Arabidopsis thaliana: one gene and its partners. The protein of the gene in region 4 interacts with the protein of the main gene of each other region in a pairwise test. Each region holds a gene or a part of one and is shown on either strand. Other genes may lie near its edges.

What was found.
Region 1: the proteins of AO (region 4) and BCAT-2 interact in a two-hybrid assay, tested with the Arabidopsis thaliana proteins (one large-scale study listed by BioGRID).
Region 2: the proteins of AO (region 4) and OZF2 interact in a two-hybrid assay, tested with the Arabidopsis thaliana proteins (one large-scale study listed by BioGRID).
Region 3: the proteins of AO (region 4) and RAP2.2 interact in a two-hybrid assay, tested with the Arabidopsis thaliana proteins (one large-scale study listed by BioGRID).

The regions. Positions count from the first base shown.
Region 1 is NC_003070.9:3,286,571-3,291,019, reverse strand, and holds BCAT-2 (branched-chain amino acid transaminase 2), read right to left. Parts: upstream 2,934-4,449; 5' UTR 2,766-2,933; coding exon 2,700-2,765; exon of another isoform or gene 2,590-2,699; coding exon 2,516-2,589; intron 2,419-2,515; coding exon 2,241-2,418; intron 2,160-2,240; coding exon 1,983-2,159; intron 1,901-1,982; coding exon 1,769-1,900; intron 1,692-1,768; coding exon 1,593-1,691; intron 1,518-1,592; coding exon 1,401-1,517; intron 1,339-1,400; coding exon 1,243-1,338; intron 1,165-1,242; coding exon 1,052-1,164; intron 971-1,051; coding exon 856-970; 3' UTR 549-855; downstream 1-548. Other genes in the region: AT1G10090 (Early-responsive to dehydration stress protein (ERD4)), read left to right, coding at 1-44, 134-448; BCAT-1 (branched-chain amino acid transaminase 1), read right to left, coding at 4,183-4,297, 4,374-4,449. UniProt on the Arabidopsis thaliana protein: Converts 2-oxo acids to branched-chain amino acids. Shows activity with L-Leu, L-Ile and L-Val as amino donors and 2-oxoglutarate as an amino acceptor, but no activity for D-isomers of Leu, Ile, Val, Asp, Glu or Ala.
Region 2 is NC_003075.7:14,391,331-14,395,204, forward strand, and holds OZF2 (Zinc finger C-x8-C-x5-C-x3-H type family protein), read right to left. Parts: upstream 2,052-3,874; 5' UTR 1,974-2,051; coding exon 903-1,973; 3' UTR 519-902; downstream 1-518.
Region 3 is NC_003074.8:4,736,591-4,741,089, forward strand, and holds RAP2.2 (uncharacterized protein), read right to left. Parts: upstream 2,547-4,499; 5' UTR 2,411-2,546; coding exon 2,110-2,410; intron 1,865-2,109; coding exon 1,026-1,864; 3' UTR 985-1,025; intron 883-984; 3' UTR 556-882; downstream 1-555.
Region 4 is NC_003076.8:4,766,493-4,772,687, reverse strand, and holds AO (L-aspartate oxidase), read right to left. Parts: upstream 4,426-6,195; 5' UTR 3,946-4,425; intron 3,573-3,945; 5' UTR 3,556-3,572; coding exon 3,428-3,555; intron 3,249-3,427; coding exon 2,897-3,248; intron 2,768-2,896; coding exon 2,525-2,767; intron 2,443-2,524; coding exon 2,386-2,442; intron 2,302-2,385; coding exon 2,221-2,301; intron 1,846-2,220; coding exon 1,784-1,845; intron 1,709-1,783; coding exon 676-1,708; 3' UTR 535-675; downstream 1-534. UniProt on the Arabidopsis thaliana protein: Catalyzes the oxidation of L-aspartate to iminoaspartate. Can complement nadB-deficient E.coli mutant. Plays a role in stomatal immunity.

The DNA of each region.
Region 1 (4,449 bases), on a different chromosome or scaffold from region 4:
GCCGGCAAAGGTTTGCGCCCATATTCCAGAAATATCCAGCCGAGGTATATATACATATATATATATATTACTCATCTTTTCATAACCTCGATTTGCATCTCCTGAGAGATATTGATGTATGAGTTTCTTTCAGATTCTTATCGCTATGGACAGAGCAGATGAGATGACAGGAAAGATGGAAGAGATACATAACAACTTGAAAGTTGCATACTCTCAGATACCAACGTGTTCTGAAGAATCCAGCAAAGCTGGTTGCACTTCTCCTTGCTCAGATCAGGAGTTACCAGATTCTGAAGAGTTGAAGCCTGAGAAAGAGAATCTTAAAGCTGATTACATATGGGAGTTCCAGAGAAGTAAATCTGGTCTTGATCTTGAGGTGAAATCCTGTCCCAGTGCTTCCCCAATTCGTAATTCCCCAGGGTTTGCCGAGATCTACAAACGAACATAGATACTTGAGTTACAATGTATACTTTATAACTCTGCAGATGAAAAGGTGTTTTTGCAGTTGAGTTACAATTTTAGTAGTTGAAACCCTTATGGGTGATGAAAGTAAGAAGTGGGGAAAGCCATTGAAACGTATATACAGTTTTGCCTCCTAAAATGAAATGTAAATTTGGAGTTACTGCAGGAGGAAATGAAACTATCCTTGGAAACACTTGTCTACAAGTACAATAGACGATTCTTTTCTTTGTCATAGTTTTGTGAAAGACATTGACTTTACGATATAGAAATGAGCAAAAGAGCTTTCTGTTTCTATCTCATATATATGTTTATAGTGTTCTTCATTGTCGTGTATACACAGCTTAAAATGCAGAGTAATCTCCTTTGTGGCAAAATATTGAAGATTGTTATTCTTCAGTTGATATCTGTGACCCATCCCTTGTTATCTTCAATCAATCCTGTCTGGATACCTACGAGGACTGAACGCAGTTTCTGGCAGACAGATTCATCCCCGGTTTTATACTCTACTCTGAATGTTTCAGAAAGATTACATCAGTCCATTTCTTTGCTTAAGGCTTGAGTAAAACTTGATTCAGGCATTGAGATTTACCTTTTTTCCTGATATGTGATAGTGCCCACGGGAGCAACTACTACAGCAGTTCCGGTGCAAAAAACTTCATCTGCATCCATTACTTCATCCACATGAACTGCCTTCTCTACTACCTGATCATAACTCAGGTGTGAAACTTAGCTGAGTTTAGTTTTTGGGTGTTTAGAGTGATTCAATCTTATCTGTGTTACCTGATAACCTTGATCACTTGCGATCTCCATCACACTTTTCCGCGTAATCCCTTCAAGAATTGTTCCATTAGTTGCAGGAGTTGAGATTGTCCGACCCTGAATCAATGATACAATTAGGATGCAACAAAGAGACATGGAGACACCACAATATATCTTACCTTGACAACAAAGACGTTGCAAGAAGAAGCCTCCTCTAAGTACTTCTTCTTGACAGAGTCGAGATAAAGAACGTCTGAAAACCCCCGACTCTTGGCTCTGCTCAGTGCTTTCAAAACCTACAAACACGTGGTTTATCAAAACTCTTTTTCTGACTCTGGTCTTTGAGAAACTAAGTTGGTTTCAACACTTACTGGCGCATAATTTGTGATGCTCTTGACGCCTCCAGCTCCACCAGGAGCCGCTCGGACATATTCTTCCTCAACATAGAGGTTAAGAGCAGCCATCCCTTCCTACAAATCAGTGAACAAAACATTTGCTAATCGTTCCATCGCCAAAAAGCATGGACATGCAAGAGTATTGTATATACCTTGAAGTAGTTACCAACTGGAGATGCATAGACAATGAATGTATATTCAGGTGCAGGACCTAAACCAAGTATTGGACCACTTCCCATCAACAAAGGCCTAATGTACAAAGTCCCTTTCCCTGCAGGAGGAACCTGAACAAACACATCATCACTTATCAGATCCCAAAAACAAACCTCTTCAGAAGAAATATACGTCACAAGAAAGCGTTTTTACCCAACGTTTGTTTGCAAGAGCGGTTTGTTTAACTGCATTAACAAACTGATCAACCGAAGGAGAAGGCATGAGCATCCGTTCAGCGCCAAGCTTCATCCGGATAGCGTTGTGATCCGGACGAAACAAAAGAAGCTTCCCATTTTCTTTCCTGTATGCTTTTGTACCTTCGTATATCGCCTGCAAAGAATCCCAAAACCTCTATTGATCATACAGTTGAGAAACAAATCAAGAAACATTTGGGGGTTACGAGATCCTTGCCTGTCCATAGTTTAAGACTCCAGCAGAAGGACTTAGCTGAATATTCCCATAGGGACTAAGTTCTCCTTGAGTGAATTCGCCGTCTTTTGAGCATTTCATGACATACATGTAATCAGCTGGATTTAGACCAAACCCGAGATTATCCCAATCCAAATCCGCATATACATCATCTCCATTTCTATATGATACAATTACAACAAATTTGAAACAGAGCTTTTTCCAATGGTAACAAAATATCTATATGACCTGGCTGGATCATGAAAAAGAGAACTTACTGATAAAGAGGTTTCTTACGCTCTTCTCGCAAAGCCGATGCAGCTTGTGCGTTGTACTTGGCGAAAGTTTGTAGCTATTTCATCAGGACAAAAAAAACAGAACATAAAACATGTTTGTATCTGAGATCCGAGTTATGTCTCTAAGTAAGTAATCATCATTAGATTGTAAGAATCCAGTTTATACCGTACGAATATGTAAATGAAGAGGTAGAACCAGAGTTTTGCGTAGAGATGTGATTGTTTTGATCATCTTCTTTTGCAGAGCCTCTGTTTTAATTCTCTTGATTTCAATAATAATAAAAAAAACAACAAAATAAAGAAATGAAGAGAGAATTTTGTTGAATGATATACCGAAAAAGAAGGTGGAAGAGAAAACACAAAGAAGAGTGTCAAATTAAGTATCCAACACGTAAGTGAATGCGGAGCTTATGTACAGTGTCTGCTTTTATCTTGGCAAATCGTTGAATTTGTTTTATTTTTTTTCTTATTTTTATCTTTTAGTGGTAAGAGTTCTTATCTTATTTTTGTGTTTCTTTTGCTTCGTCACTTGTGTCTATCTGCCCTGATCAGACAGATCTAGACGTGTCTTTCTGAAACTAGATTTTAACGAAATCAACGGACTATTGTTCTTTTCTCGTTCTCTTATGGGGTAAATAAATGAAGAAAATTAGTGGTGTATCTTCAAAATGGAGATTTCTATTTTTGAACTGTAAACTATTGTAAGTTGGTATAAATATCAATTTAGCAATGTTTCTTCGGCACGCAATTACCTAAAGTATACAAACAAATACTTGACGAAAAAACAAAATACAGACAAGTACTAATTTCAGTAATTTTCCATGAGATGTGAAATAGTAAACTAGTGATGTGAAAGCCACGTTGGACCAAGAGGTCTTTGTCGGATAAACAATTTTCTTTCCATGTCAATCTTTTAGACCATATTGTTGTCTTTTCAACGTCTTTGTCCGTAACTACCCAAATGGGAGATAAACACGTTGTGGAGATTGACAGCCACGTCAGTCTGAGAACTTTTCTTATCTGATAACAACGTTTTTGCTAAGATGGCTTACTAATGAATATTGATGTCCCTTTCCAGTATCGTCGTATCACTAGTGTCATCGACTATTAGTACACACTTGACGCGAGCACACTCCTTCGTTTTCTTATAAATATCTTTAAAAAAAAAAATTCAAATTATAAATATACCAAACCTAGTGGAACAATCAACGAACCTCATTTCTTTGAAAAATCTTAAATCGCATTTGTCGTGTCTTATCAAAGAATCTTAGACAGTCTTGTGTGTGGAATCTACAATATTTACAAAAAAAAAAAAGTTTCGACAAAATTGTTTTTTTTCTAAAAGCGAATATACCGCCGTAGAGTCTGGCAAATAGAATCTGAGGAGGCTGATCATACAGCAATGGTATTTTGAACCAATGGTGGCAAAATGCCACAAAGACAAACCATTAGATTACATATCCTGACCTTGAAGTTGAAGGTCTTTAGTTTTGCTTTTGTCTCTTTGGAAGAGTGAAACAAATGTTTAATACTAATACGATGTGGTGATATATCACAAATTTATGTCACAAATTTACCAAAAACTATTTCAAAAGCTTTTGATGGGTGATCAAGAGAGTGCAACATTATTTATAGGATATGAAAGTAACTTAGGCAATCTGCAAAACCCAATCTTTAGTGTCTTGGATAGAACCAGTTTGTATTCCGACAAGAATAGATCGAAGTTGCTGTGTAACAATCCCATCTCCAACTTTGTACTCAGTCCTGCAGATTATTTATCAACAGATAAATGTAAAATTCTAAGCATATGTATACATGTATCCAGAGAGGAAGAAGAGACCTTGTGTTCTTAAAAGTGATGCTTCCAACAGAAGCAACTCCAGCGGCAGTTCCAGTGCAGAAAACTTCTTCAGCTT
Region 2 (3,874 bases), on a different chromosome or scaffold from region 4:
GACCCACATGTCATTTTTGTCATTAGTAAAGTAAGTATATTGGTTTTTGCCGTAACTGTCCCAAAACCTCTAATGATAACAAATACTATTCCAAATGTCAAATACCAAAATATCTCAATACCTGGCTACCTGCTGACAAAAGAAAGAAAAAGAACGCAGCCATTCTGTGATGTTGTCAAGATCGGTTTAGATTTCCGGTTATCAAAACAAACATTGGTGCCGGTTTAGTTAAAACACCCGACTTTTCTTCGCGATTGCAAATGATCTCGTTGGTCAATGTCATTTTCTTATCCATGCTATCGCCAAATCGCCAAATTATATTGGATAAAGTCACAATCGAATGATTCGCCCAAACGCTACCGAAACCATCGAACAAGTCTTTTATTGGTTAATTTTTCTTTAACAAAACCTTTGGTAAGTCATTTACTTGCAACTTATAGGTTATTAACTCATTTGGATTTGACGCGTTCAAACATTTAACACAGTCAAACTCCTAACAAGAGATTTCGACGTTAAACAGATCATCAAAACTTCAATTATAACAAAACTTCACAACAAAGATATTTATATTGGATCAAGAAAAACTAGGGAAACACAACAAAGTATTAGATAATAATTTGCATTCATTCATAGATTAGTACCAAGTGGTTACAATCTAACATTATAGTCTTATAAAACACGATTATATTAATACTATTTCATAATTAAAACCCTAAGGCACATCTATACAACGATCATCTTAGAAAAATCAGGCCCCAAAATCCATAATTAATTCTTATTAGCAGATAAAATACGAGATTAGTAAATAAAATAATATGAACACACTAAGATCCCTTCCTCTTTTCCTTGGAAGATATCCAAAAAAGCCAATGAGACTTCGAAATACGGTCAGATTTTTTTCTTTACATGAGCAGGTCAGATACCCACCCGACATCAGGAGCCTCACCCAAATTCTGATCCGGATCCTGGGCAACTCGATCCATGCAATTCTCCTTGTGCAGTTTCTCGCGCATCTTTTCTCGTAGCTCACGACCCGACTCAACGACACGCTCCATTACGGGTTCTTCCTCCAAACCATACTCCCAAATATCCAGATTCCCTGGTCGGGTCGGTGTTGTAGGCAGAGACTGAAACCCAGGACCCAAGATCGATCCACGGGGCGACCCGAATCCGAATAAAGGATTGTTACGAGGAAATGATTTTACCGAATTAAACTGTAAATTCCTAAACGAAGGAACGACGTCGTTTATCGAACAAGACCCGAGAGATCGACTCAGTGACTGAGTCATCGGAGAAGACTCCGAGTCAGCTCTTGGACTCATCGGTGGCGAACCAGAAACCGGAGAAATCGACAGCTGAAATGCTCTAGCACGAATCGGAGACGAAACGTCAAAAGAATCAACTCTGTCAGGGCTCCGAGTATGTAAAAACCTAAGCTGATCCGGTGAATGAGCAAAGAAACAAATTTTCCGGAGACAGTTACCACCGTCTTTACACGGCTGAGTACGGTAACGAGCTGGATGAAGCCAACACTCGAAAACACCATGAGCAAACTCACAAGAGTCACCTTTCTTGCAGCCACCTTTACGAAAATCAGGACAAGCCGTACCAGAGTAATGGTACTTCCTCGGATCTCTCCGGCGAGCTTTTTCTCCGGGATGAGCGTACGGACACTCCGTCCAATCATGACTCCGGCCACGAGCACACCTCCTGACTTTGAAATCGTACATACGGAAATGGTCGCATGAGTAAGCATCGATTGGTGAATCCGGACCCAATAGATCCGGGTATGACTCCGGATCCGGTTCGTTAGACGGCAAATAACGCTGCAACCCCGCCAAAGCTTCAAGCATGCTACAATCTGGACTATTCATCACCGGAGAAAAAAACTCCGACGTTGTAAGCTCTTCAAGTACCGGCCATGGAGGTATTTCAACAGTGGGATAAGTCCTGCGAGTTTCTCCGATCATCATCTTCTTTAATACTCCGGTGAACAATAAATCACATTAGTCGACGAAAGAGTTCTTTTTTTTTGTTTGTGTTGTTTGTTTGTAATACACCGGCAAAGCTACTTATGTAGTTGAAACACTTAACCGTGGTTTGGTTAAAATTATTTAACTATGGTTAAAGATATTAGCATAGGACTAGGTTATCGTAACAAAGCTGTGAGATAAGCATGTGAAACAGCGGCTGGAGACTTATCCACGAGATAGACGTACGTGGACCGTTTCGTGATGTGGACGTTTATCAAAATGACTTTGACGAAGTTTAAAGTAACCGAACTGTGAGCGTAAGGTTACTTTAGGATTATTAGATACGTTGAAGTCGGTCGAAGTTTAGATTCTCCGAAAGACGACAAAATAGATAATCCACAGTTTTAGTTTCATTAATTAGTCTATCCATTGCCTTATTACTTAATTTGTTTGTTTAATTATTCGTTGCATGTATCTCTTATTTTTTATATGATTCAATATAATAATTTATTGTTTATTATTGTCATTTTGATTTGAATATTATTATATATATCGAATGAGGTTATTGTATCATTTATCTAGCAATAAAAAAAAAGTTGTTTAATAATTTGCTGTTATCGAAAAAAATAATTTTATTTTTGATATGATCTGATAATTTGTTGTTTAGTATTGTCATTTTGAACCTAATATTATTGTATCTAAATCGTCAAAACAATTTCATTATATCACTTATTTAGCATCAAAACTATAAAAAAATTGTTTAATAATTTGTTATTATCGGAAAAATAATCTTATTTTTAATACCAAAATATCTGATAATTTGTTGTTTACTATTGTTCATTGTGATCTTAATATTGTTATATCTAATTCGTCAAAATGATTTTATTGTTTCACTTATCTAGCAACAAAACGACAAAAAGTTGTTTAATAATTTATTGTTATCGGAAAAAATGATCTTGTTTTTGATATGATACAAAGATATATGATACTTTGTTTATAATTTTCATTTTGATCCAAATATTGTTGTATCTAAGTTGTTGAAATGAATTCATTGTATCATTTATCTAACAACAAAACGATCGAAAATTATTTAATAATTTATTGTTATCAGGAAAAAATAATCTTACGACAAAAAGTTGTTTAATAATTTATTGTTATCGAAAAAAAAAAATTAATTTTTGATATGATTCGAAGAATTCTCATAATTTTATTGTGTATTGTTGTCATTTTAATTTGAATATTATTATATCTAAGTCAAATGATTTTATTGTATCACTTATAATTTCATTGTACCACTTATTTAGTAACAAAACGACAAAAAGTTGTTTGGTAATTTGTTGTTATTGGAAGAAAAAAAATATCTTACATAGTTCTCAAAAATTCGTTTTCAATTTTCGATTTAATTTTAGCAAAAAAAATTAGAGAAGAGGATAAGAAATGTGTCGGATGAAGAGGACATGTTGGAACAGATTTGGAATAACGTTTAAAGACTTTATAGGGGCAAAAACATTTATGTTTCTTTGCTAAATTTGGAAGCAATTCCATATCCTCCTAAACAAAATCGACCTCTCATTTATCCTTTGTTCTTTCTTTTTTGCACTTTTCTTTTCTTTCATATAAATGTATTTTCTCTTTTAAATTTTTATAAATTTGACAATTGTTTATCAAACTTATAGTTCAATCAAACAATTGACATGGTCAATATATTTGAGTGGTGGCGATATTAACATGTTGAATGAATAATAGAGAAATAATAGAAACATATTTCTATAAATCAATGTTTCCTAGATCTAACGAAGAAGACAGGTTGCGAAATATCTAAAAACGTGTAGCTCATCCGATTCAAGAAGCAATTATTATATTTCTTTATTTGGAAGATAGTGAAATTACACACGATTACG
Region 3 (4,499 bases), on a different chromosome or scaffold from region 4:
ATAACTTACTTCCAAAACAAGTGATTACGGTGACGACTCAGACTGTCATAGTGTCATAGATTGGAAAACTAGTTTTGGTTTCTCTGTTATCCATAGTAAAATGTTGTCTTATGATAATGGGAATTTCACGGTGTACTTGGGAAAAGAATTAGTCGCAAACTCGTTGATTGAACAATGAATCTTCATCTAGACAGCCTTAAGCCTTTAGTTACCCTACAGAATCATTTTGATGATTTCCAATATTTTCTTGTAAGCAATGTGGCCATGTGGGTGTATTATTATTTTTGTATTTTCATCAAATGGTTCACGAGAAAGTTTACAGGACAAAACTCAATTCTGTCTCATTTTTCCTTATTACCAGGCACGTTCTTTGTCTGGTTCGGTCTTGTTTCCTGAAGCTTTTTTAAATCTATTGTTTTCGAGGTGTACGAAGAATCTTTCTAATTGCTTTTAAAGTGAAAGTTGTTTGAATTATTCAAAACTAATGAATAAATAAGGCATATTTCTCAAAATCAATCAAGCAAAGTTAGGCAGAGAAGATTCATTGAACAGATAGAGAAGTTCCAAAGAGACTTTATTATAATGCTAAACAAGTTTGGGGGTACAAAACATTACACTTTCGAGGGTGATGATACGCTATAACAAAGATCAAAAAGAGAGCTCAGAAGACTAATAAACTGTCTTTTAAATAGAAAAGAAATACAAAAATGAAAGAACAAAACAAGACTTAATAGATAGATATTATTATACCTCTATTTACTTCATCACACCTTTTTTATTTCGACAAAATTAAAAGAGAAACTCTCTATGGAAGAGAGGCTCATGAGATACCAATGCATAGAGCTTGAGGTGTGACTTGTACCATCCCCCAACAGCAAAATCCTGAAACAACCAAAAAAGAACGACAGAAGATTAATCCTGAAACCAACACTTAGGTTGTTTGTCTTTACGATTCAACAAGAAGAGCTTGTAACTGTAACTCACCAACACAGCTTTATTTACAAACTAAGGAACCATCGATCACTTCAAAAGTCTCCTTCCAGCATGAAATTGATCTCATCTAAGCTCCATAGCTCCACTGGGTTTTCCTCTTCCTGAGTCACAGCACCAGCATCTGCGCCAAGCATGGCTTCCACTTCTAGTGGGGTGTCCCACAAGGCGTTGTCAAGGTATGCCATCAGATCGTCTGACTCATCAGAGTTTGGTTTGAGCTTCTTGGCTGCATTGGTTTCTTCAACAAATGATGCTTCGTTGTTATTGACAAGCATTGAAGAGATCTCGGGTGTTTTAGGGCCGTGATCACTCCACCCGAACTCAGAACAGTCGAAGGAGTTACTGCCCTGATCGGAACTGAAATACTGGTATCCATTGTTACCTCCAGCATCGAACGAGTTTGTTAACCCAAACTGATTGTTGTACATCTGAGGCTTCTCTTCCATGAAACTCATATCACCAAAAGAGTTGTCAAAGGAGTTGTTGCAGTACTGCTGACTCAGATGTGTTGGCTGCTGAACCAAAGTTACGCTTTTGTTTGGTTTAGCCACTGATTTCTGAAGATTATTAGTCTTAGCACTAGGACGTTTCTGGGATACGACGCTAGGGTTCTTCTCCTCGGGAAAATTCACCTTAGCTTTCGTGCCACGGATTCTGCGTGCTGCAGCATCATAAGCTCTTGCTGCTTCCTCAGCAGTGTCGAATGTTCCAAGCCATTCTCGGGAGCCTTTTCTCGGATCACGGATCTCCGCAGCCCATTTTCCCCAAGGACGCTGCCTAATCCCTCGGTATTGATTCTTCCTCTTCCTCTTAGAAGATTTCTCAGCTTGCTCAGCGGACTCTACAGTTTTCTTGGCATATGCTGAACCTACTGTAGCCAAACACACACAATATCAATCATAAGCTGAATAGAACAAACAAAACTGCATCCCTTCAGGAGCTAAGGACGGTAAGCTGGTATATAATCAACATAGTAACAGCAGATGGTTACAAGACCAGTGAGATCAACCAATTCCAAAGACTAAGCTATAAACTAAGAAAAGCCTCTGAAAACCTAAAGATCTAAAAATTTCATGAGCTTTCCAATTCAAATAAAAGTTGAGATTCGAATCAAACCCAAATATATACCAGTGGAGACGAAAGCGGAAGCTACGGGCTTAGTAGTTGCGGTGAAGACGAAAGGCTTAACATTGACGAAGACATCATCATCGTCTTCGCAGTCAAAAGCCGAGTCATCCTTAAACCCTTGGAAATCAGCTTCGAAATCATCGTCAAGATCGAAGAAATCGGATCGCTTATTCGATCTCTTCTTTGAAGCTTTCACTTTGTTTTTCAGATCCGGCCAGATAAACTCGTTAGTGACGCGGAGGGACCTCGGCGGAGGTATGAAATCGGAGATTATAGCTCCTCCACACATGGTGGCTTCACGAAAGCTCTACTCTTTTTAGGGGTGTAAATGATCAGAAATAGAATCTTCGGGGCGAAATAATAAATATTCGATTCTTTGGGGTTCTCTTTTTTAGTTTTTCTTCTTTGTCTCGATGTTACTCTCCAGAAAGAATGAGAAAGGGTGGGTCGTATATTATATAGATTGATTCTTTACTATTATACCCTTACCTGTGACTCGTAATGGCTGTTATGTGTTTAAGCCTTTAAGGTGATTTGTCATGGTTTGGGTGGCTGAATATAATTTTACAGTTTAGTGCTTATTATATAATGAAAAAATGCAATAATTGGTGTAGATTCTTTTGATGTTATCACTATATATGGAAGATAATCATGCAATGAAAATATCTAATTTTCATAATCCACTAGTAGATACTAGATAATCATGCATTGAACAAATGTTCTCATAATTAGCTAGTAGACCAAACGTGTTTTACAAATATATTGAAAAGCTATGTTTTGGTATATTTGATTATTTATCAACCCTTTAAAATATGTAATATATGGTTTTATAACAAAATAAGTTAATACAAGGTAAGTTGCATCCCAATGTTGTCATATTTGACTGTCCTTAGAAATGTCAAAACTCAAAAGTAATTTCCCAACTTTTATAATTGACGCTTTTTGAACATGAAACACGTACGAACGTTCTAAAGTTAGAACTAATTATTCTTGTGGTTTTCAGTTTTGCATGGTTTATGATCTGGAAGTCCAATACAATCGTCCGTTGTGAACCTTTTAGTGTGTAACAGGGAATGATTTATGTAAAAAGATTCTACACATTTTGACAGCATAGTTTATGTCAAAGAACAAAAATTCAAGGAAAAAAGAAGAAAAATTAATACACATCTTTAGCCATTATTAGCAATGACATCTTCCACGTATTAGGCTAACATATATAGATGCTTCTAGCTAGCAGTAGAAAAAGATAAATTTTAATCCCAGATAGTTGCCAACTTTCAAGTAAGTAAACAAATCAATCATGTGTGTTAGAATCGACGAGATTTGTTGAGATTTCAAAATAAATGAACCCCATCCCTAGATGATATTATCATGGAGTGGCAATATTGGAAATACCAAAAATGAGCTCATCTATGGGCGTGTTTGTGTTACACGGAGTTCATTGAATCTTGAGACTTGGAAAAGAGATAAAAGAAAGACAAGTTGAGCAAGTGGACTCTACAAGGCTTTGCGTTGCCCGAGTCCCACCTTGTTACCACACGCTTAAGTCTTAACGCACATCTTCAAAACTAAAAGATCATCAACTATTTATTGTTAATTGCATATCAATTCTTCTAAATGAAAATTGTCCGGTGTATCTTAACATGTTTAAGATACCCGTTAATCTTCATAGTTTTTTCGAAATCATATTCCGAAGAGTTGAAGATGGATAGTAGTATACGTTTGTAGTAAATCAATGTGTATATCTACAAAAGATAAAATAATACCCCCAAAAATCCCAAAAAAGAAATAAGTAGAGAAGATAAAGTTAAGAATGCAAAAGGAGGTAGGACCATTATCCTTTGGTACGATTGAGACAAAGCTCCAAAAATAGTTGATCTCAAGAAACAGAAGATGATGTAAGTTTTGAAAGCTACCCATCCGTATCCCTGCAATTATTTTTGTTTCCGTTATTAAATGAGCTGTAGAGTATAGACAAGCAAAATTTAAAATAACGAAAATATTTAGAAAAAGTAATTAAAATGAGCACTATTTTATTATTATATCTTATGCTAGGAAAATGTAAATGAAATTATTTTGTTCATTTTTGAATGGTAGTAGGTGATCTGCATCTAATTTTAGATGGCTGTAAAAATCTAGAAAGGTTCCAATCGAATATTTCAATCTCTCAAATCTAAAGGCTTTATTTAACTCCTAATCTGGTTGTCTGCCACTACCACCAGTTAACTACACACCTGCACTACACGTATCTTCTAGTTGAGGCTATAATCGAATCATCATTCTTTAACCCAATTTTATATTACTATCTAAGAATATACATCTATTTCTCAGCATAAAAGATTAGGGGGAACCCATCATTTTGACTTTGGCTTATCCGG
Region 4 (6,195 bases):
TTCTTCACATTGTAATTCAGGATATCTTTATTCTTTGTTAAATCAAATTGCACGAGCCAAAACTATCTCCTGAAAATACCCTTTGAATTTCATTGTAGCAGAACGGCGATGGCAGCTGCAGAGCAGGCAAGACTTATGATCTAGCTGGTTTCTGGATGTAACTAGTAACTAGGCTGTTCTAAAGCGACATTGCAGAAGAGATCTCTGATTATTAATGGATGTGCCTTTGTGCAGCCTTCTCAGATCACACCCTGGTCTAGTTGAAGAAGACAGGAAGAATGAATTCATGTTTGGTCTGGTCATGGAAGCCATACCCGAGCTTGGAGCTCGTGATTTCCTCAGGAGAAGGATAGAAGCTTTTGGAATGATTTACTCAGAAAAAAAAGGAACCGAGGATATGGAGTCAGTGAACACAAGACTGTTCTCAATCCTGCTTCTTGCTTGGGAAATCCACACTCACAGTTGTTTCTTTCATTCAGAAAGTCATCAATAAACCATAACAAAGGAATTGAAATATGAATTACCAATATGATTGATATCTCAAATGAATAATTTATTTCCTTTTGTATTACAGAGTGTCAGAATCAGAGATTCCTTTTGAGATCCAAATTTTTTCAAATTGATACAATAATCAGAGAGGTTTGGATTCAAATAAGAACAAAAACTCCTGCAGTTTTAGCAATCAATAAGTGAGCTGCTACTTATATTCTGTAACCGCCTTGAGCTCCAACTAGCTGTTGTAGGAGAAGACGGTAGAATAATCGTCGGAATCCGCTTGCTTTCTTCCACAAAAGGAAAGTCTGTCATGTAATGAAGACCTCTGCTTTCATGTCTAGCTAACGCGCTGCTCACCACAAGCTTAGCGCAACAGAACAAGTTTCTCATCTCACAAGCTTCAAGAGCTACCACTGTTTGTTCCCATCCATGTTCAAACAAAAATGTTTCCCATTTTGCTTCTAGCTCTGCGATTTTCCTCTCAGCAGTGGTGAGCCGAATTGTCGATCTGACAATACCAACATACTTCCACATTACCTCCTGAAGCTCTCTTCTCACTTCTTTAGTCAAAGCTATAATCTTTGCTATTACTTCATCTCCTAGCAATCTAGCTGTCGCAACAACAGGCCTTGTCCATTTCTCTGATGCGCATACATCAAGTCTTGTGCGTTTCATGAGCTCAGTCGAAGGCTGAACAGCCCGTCTCGCGAAAACCAGAGCTTCTAAAAGCGAGTTACTAGCAAGACGATTTGCCCCGTGGAGGCCTGTACATGCTACTTCACCTGCTACAAACAATCCAAGGACATTGGTTTCGCCTTGTAAACCAGCACGAACTCCTCCACACATGTAATGGGCTGCAGGGACAACCGGAATAGGCTGACGGGTGATATCCAGACCGTGTTTAAGACATTCAGAAGCTATGTTCGGGAAATGGGCAAGAATCTTTTCTCTTGGCTTATGGCTTATGTCAAGTAACACATACTTTTCGTTTCGTTTCTTAAGCTGGTCATCAATACTTCTTGCAACCACGTCTCTTGGAGCAAGCTCAGCTCGTTCATCGTAAACAGGCATGAATCGCTCCATTCCTAGATTATAGAGGATGCCACCATCACCTCTCACCGCCTCGGTGATGAGGAACGCGTTTTCCCTAGCAGTTTGTAGTTTGATGGGAAGACCTTCGTCGGCTAGGGCAGTAGGATGAAACTGCACAAATCTAACCAAAAACAAATACAAAACATAAGTTTATTGTCAACAAGTTTCTTCAGTCGGTTTTTCGGTGTTCACTTACTCCATATTTGAGATCACAGCTTGAGCTCGATGAGCCATCGCCATCCCATCTCCAGTAGCCACCTATACAAAAACCATGTCGATAATTAAAATGGAGCATAATATATCACTTTTAGAGAAATATCATTGCGACTAGCACAACCGAATTTAGCAAAAAAATGTACTCTATGACTAAAATCTCTTTGTTTCTGCAACTGTTTGAACTATTAAATCTAAAACTCTAATGCAGTATGTTTGTGTATACCCGTGATAATTTCGACATTTTCTTTTGTATTCAAGGGATAAATCACATTACTTAATCAAAGTTTCATTTTTGGATATTTCCCATAAACACACAAAACTGTTGTGTTGATCCTGCACATTCTTTCTTCTGATAAAATTGGTAAAATGAAACTTCCATAGAGCTTTGTTAAAAAGAGAGTCTATAGAAAATGTTACCAGAGGATTTGTGGTTGATGGATAGATATGCCCAGCTCCACCTGAAGCAAGCAATGTCACCTTCGATATAAAGCGTACTACCTGAAGAAACATGAGTTTTTTTTACATTACAATCTAAGATATAAGGTGAATGATCAAACCACCAGAAACAAGATCTTTGTGTACCTCATTAGTTTTGATATTCAAAGTGTCCACACCATGACAAACTGTGTTCAAGCCATCCTGTTAAGATACAAAAAGATATGATCTGATAAGCCAATTGATCATATATGCACATGTGTTTTTCAAGGGTGTGAAGTGGAACCTGAGAAGTGAGCAGATCGATTGCAAAATGGTGTTTGAAGACAGATATGTTGGGATCATTAAGTACAGCTTCAAGTAAAGCTCTCTCAATCTCTCTTCCTGTCATATCAGCAGCGTGAACGATCCTACAATGCGAGTGACCACCCTCTCTGGCCAAATGCAAATTTCCATCCTCGCCGTGATCAAATGATGCTCCCATTGCAATCAGTTCACGAATCCTTTCAGGCCCTTCAGTACACACAACCTGAAAAAGAACATTCAGATACAGAAAAGTGAGACAGGTTTAGACCATTACAAAATGCTTATGCACGAGACTAACACAAGCACTTATCAAACAGTTTTGAGGTAATGATCAGCAACAAAGGGAACTTACTCTTACGGTTTCTTCATCACAAAGATGAGCACCAGCGACCATAGTGTCCCGCATATGACTTTCAACAGAATCCAAAGGGCATAACACAGCACTAACACCACCTTGAGCATAGTTTGTGTTACTCTCATGAGGCTCATCTTTGGTAATCACTGCGACTGTTCCTTGCTTTGCAACTTCTAAAGCATAACGCAGACCCGCTACTCCACTACCAATCACAGTGAAATCATAATACTTTGTTGAAGAAGATACCGAAACAGCCCTGATAGGTTTTGAGGTCTCACTGATGGGGGAAATACCACGAGAGTAACAACCACATCTCTCAGCTTTTAGAGCCTTAAATACCCCACTTGACCTATATGCACACAGAGATTATAAAAGTTTGAGTCCAGCATGAGAAACTATAGGTCTAACTAGTTAAAGTTCTACATGAGAACAAAGAGCAAAATCATAAATGAGAAACATGAACCTCAAAATGCCAATTGCTACACAAAAGGGACAAAATTTGGGATTAAAGATTAAAAGAAGTGATACCAAGAGGGCTCTTTGAATGGATTTGCCATGAAAGTAGAAGCAGAACTCCATGAAAAAGCTTGTCCCCTGTAAACCTGCCCCGCAAGATAGAAATTATGAATGTTTCCAGTAGAAACATGAGCCGCCATTTCCGACCTTAAAGCTCCTACAAAAACATGAAGATTGTTGTCATAAGAAAACATCATCAAAACAAAACAAGAAACATTCTTTCTGTACAATATAAAATCAAAATGCATAGATCCATCATCCATGATGCTCAAAATCCAAAATTTGATTGAAGAACGATGAGAATTGAGGACAATGTGTTACTCAAAATCCAACAATAACCTTTTTTATATCGAAACTTCTGAAATGAACAACGATAGAAAAAAAGACATAAGAAATATCGCAACCGTTGTCTGAATTCTGGAATTTAGGAGCAGAGGAAAGAATTAAAAAAAAATGTGTAGACTAGATCACACAAAATTCAGAATCTACGTTGAAATGAAACCAAGTAATGAGAAACGCAGAAATCTTACGGAATCACGGGAGGGAGCTCTCTGATCTAAGCACGAAACGGAGAACCCACGCGAGTGTAGATCAATAAAACGTGATTCAGACTTGATTAAAAAAACGACTTTTCGCAAAGAAACAATCAAAATTACGACGAAGAAGAAGAAGAAGAGGAGAAGGAAATGAACGAAGACAACACAAATTCTGGTAAGAGTGTTTTATGTGGTTTGGTCGTCGAGAAGAGTCCTTGAAATTCGCGCCTTCGTTTTGTGTATGGGAGCCTCCCCCAAGTGGTGTTGTTGGTCTTTCTTTATTCTTCTCTTTTGTCACTTTTTATGTCTTTGGGATCTTCATTTTTCATTGGCCTTCTTCAGTTTTTCTTTTATCACATAAAAAAAAAAGTACTTCTATGAAATAAACTTTTAATAAAAAATGGAATTTATTACTGAGTTAAAAAAAATTGGAATTTATTACTAGGCGTGGATTTTTAAAAAATTAGTGTATAAGATGATAATTTACTTATAGAATATTTCCCAGCTTTCTTCTACAAATATACACATTAATAAAGCCATTGACCCTACAAATATTCAAGTTTATTAGCCCTGTGGTTCATAATTTTTTAATATTAAGAACATTTATATATAAATAACAACGGTAGCTCAAGATGTGTGACCATGATTTTCCAAAACTAAAACTAAAAAAATAAATAAAGCAAATTAAATTTAAAAGAATTCTAACAACTTGTATAGAACTTTAAATATGTGTTCATACATGCACCAAGCATGACCGACTAGAAGAATCATGGAAAAAGAACATTCACTTTTCCATGACTCGTGGCCAATGCAAATCTCCAACGGCCACAACTATTTATTTCTATAACTATAATTTCTGGAAAAAGAAAAAAAAAATGGAGAAAAACTATTTGGATTTTGGAGTCTTCTTTTGAGTCTTTTTTTATACTTTTGATTTGTAAGTGGTGGCTTCTGAATTTTCCATCAGACAACTGAAAAAAACCTAACGAATAATAAAAATCAATAATATAAGACCGAATTATGATAACCATTCAAATGACAACTGAAAGAAAACAAATTAATTAAATAATAAAATTTCAAAAACCACGAATGCAATTTAAAAGGGAAAATGTTGGCATTTTTATGGCTATCATAATTTCCTTCTTTTCTAACTAAACATAGTGCTAATGGTTTGCTTAACTAATCAGGTATAACATCCACAATTGATGACATCCTCATTTGCTTCTATCGGAATAAACTGATTATCATTTGCTTCATCATCTTTAGACCTATGCTATTTTGGACCAGTCATGGTGTTGATGTATGCATCAAGGATGGCCTTATAACTAGAATCATGGGGAAAAAAGAACAATCACTTTTCCATGAGCCTTGCTAAATCTCCAATGGCCACAATTATTTTATTTTCTACAAAACTTACTGGAAATCACTTTGAGTCTTTTAGTTTTGACTACCGTTTTTAAGGGGAGAGATGACTTCTTCTGGATTTTTTATCGGACAACAAAAACGAATAATTAAAATTGGGCTTTTGAAAGGCGGGCCCAATACTGACCTAAGATTTTGCATGGAAATAAGCCCTGGATTTTCCAGAGGCCTAAATTAAACCCGAATCATCATGCAATTAGAATTGTTCAGCCCATAAATTTTTAATTTTTTCACACACATGAGCCGATGGCATTTCGTTGTGCTTCTTACTGAATTTCACGTCACGACTAAAACCTAGAAAATCAGCGAAACACATTAGCAAATACTAATGTTCGTCTCGTAGTTAGTCAATATCTTATTGGTAAAACTCGCACATATGTAAAAGAGCAGTGTCCTAGTTGTTCCTTCTAATGATATAAGATCATTTCCGCAAATCAAATTGCAGTTTCACCACGTAAATTAATGATAGAACCTCAACAATATAATTAGTATCAATAAGAATTAGCTATATTTATCATATTATATAATTAACATAAATAAAGTCTATTTAAATATATCATTTAGTTCGTAGCATAAATCATTACATGATTTTGAAAAGATGGTAAACTTGTGAATCACAAATTCCTTGGCCATGTATAGAATATCAAACCTGATATTAGAATCAAACAAAATTAAATGATAAGATTGTGAATAAATGAGTGTTAGGTACTTAGGTCCATCAAATTCCTCAATCATACATTCTACGACATAATTAATTATAACATTTATATGTAAAAATACACACTCCTCTTATATAGTTATGACAATAAAATGTTGTATATA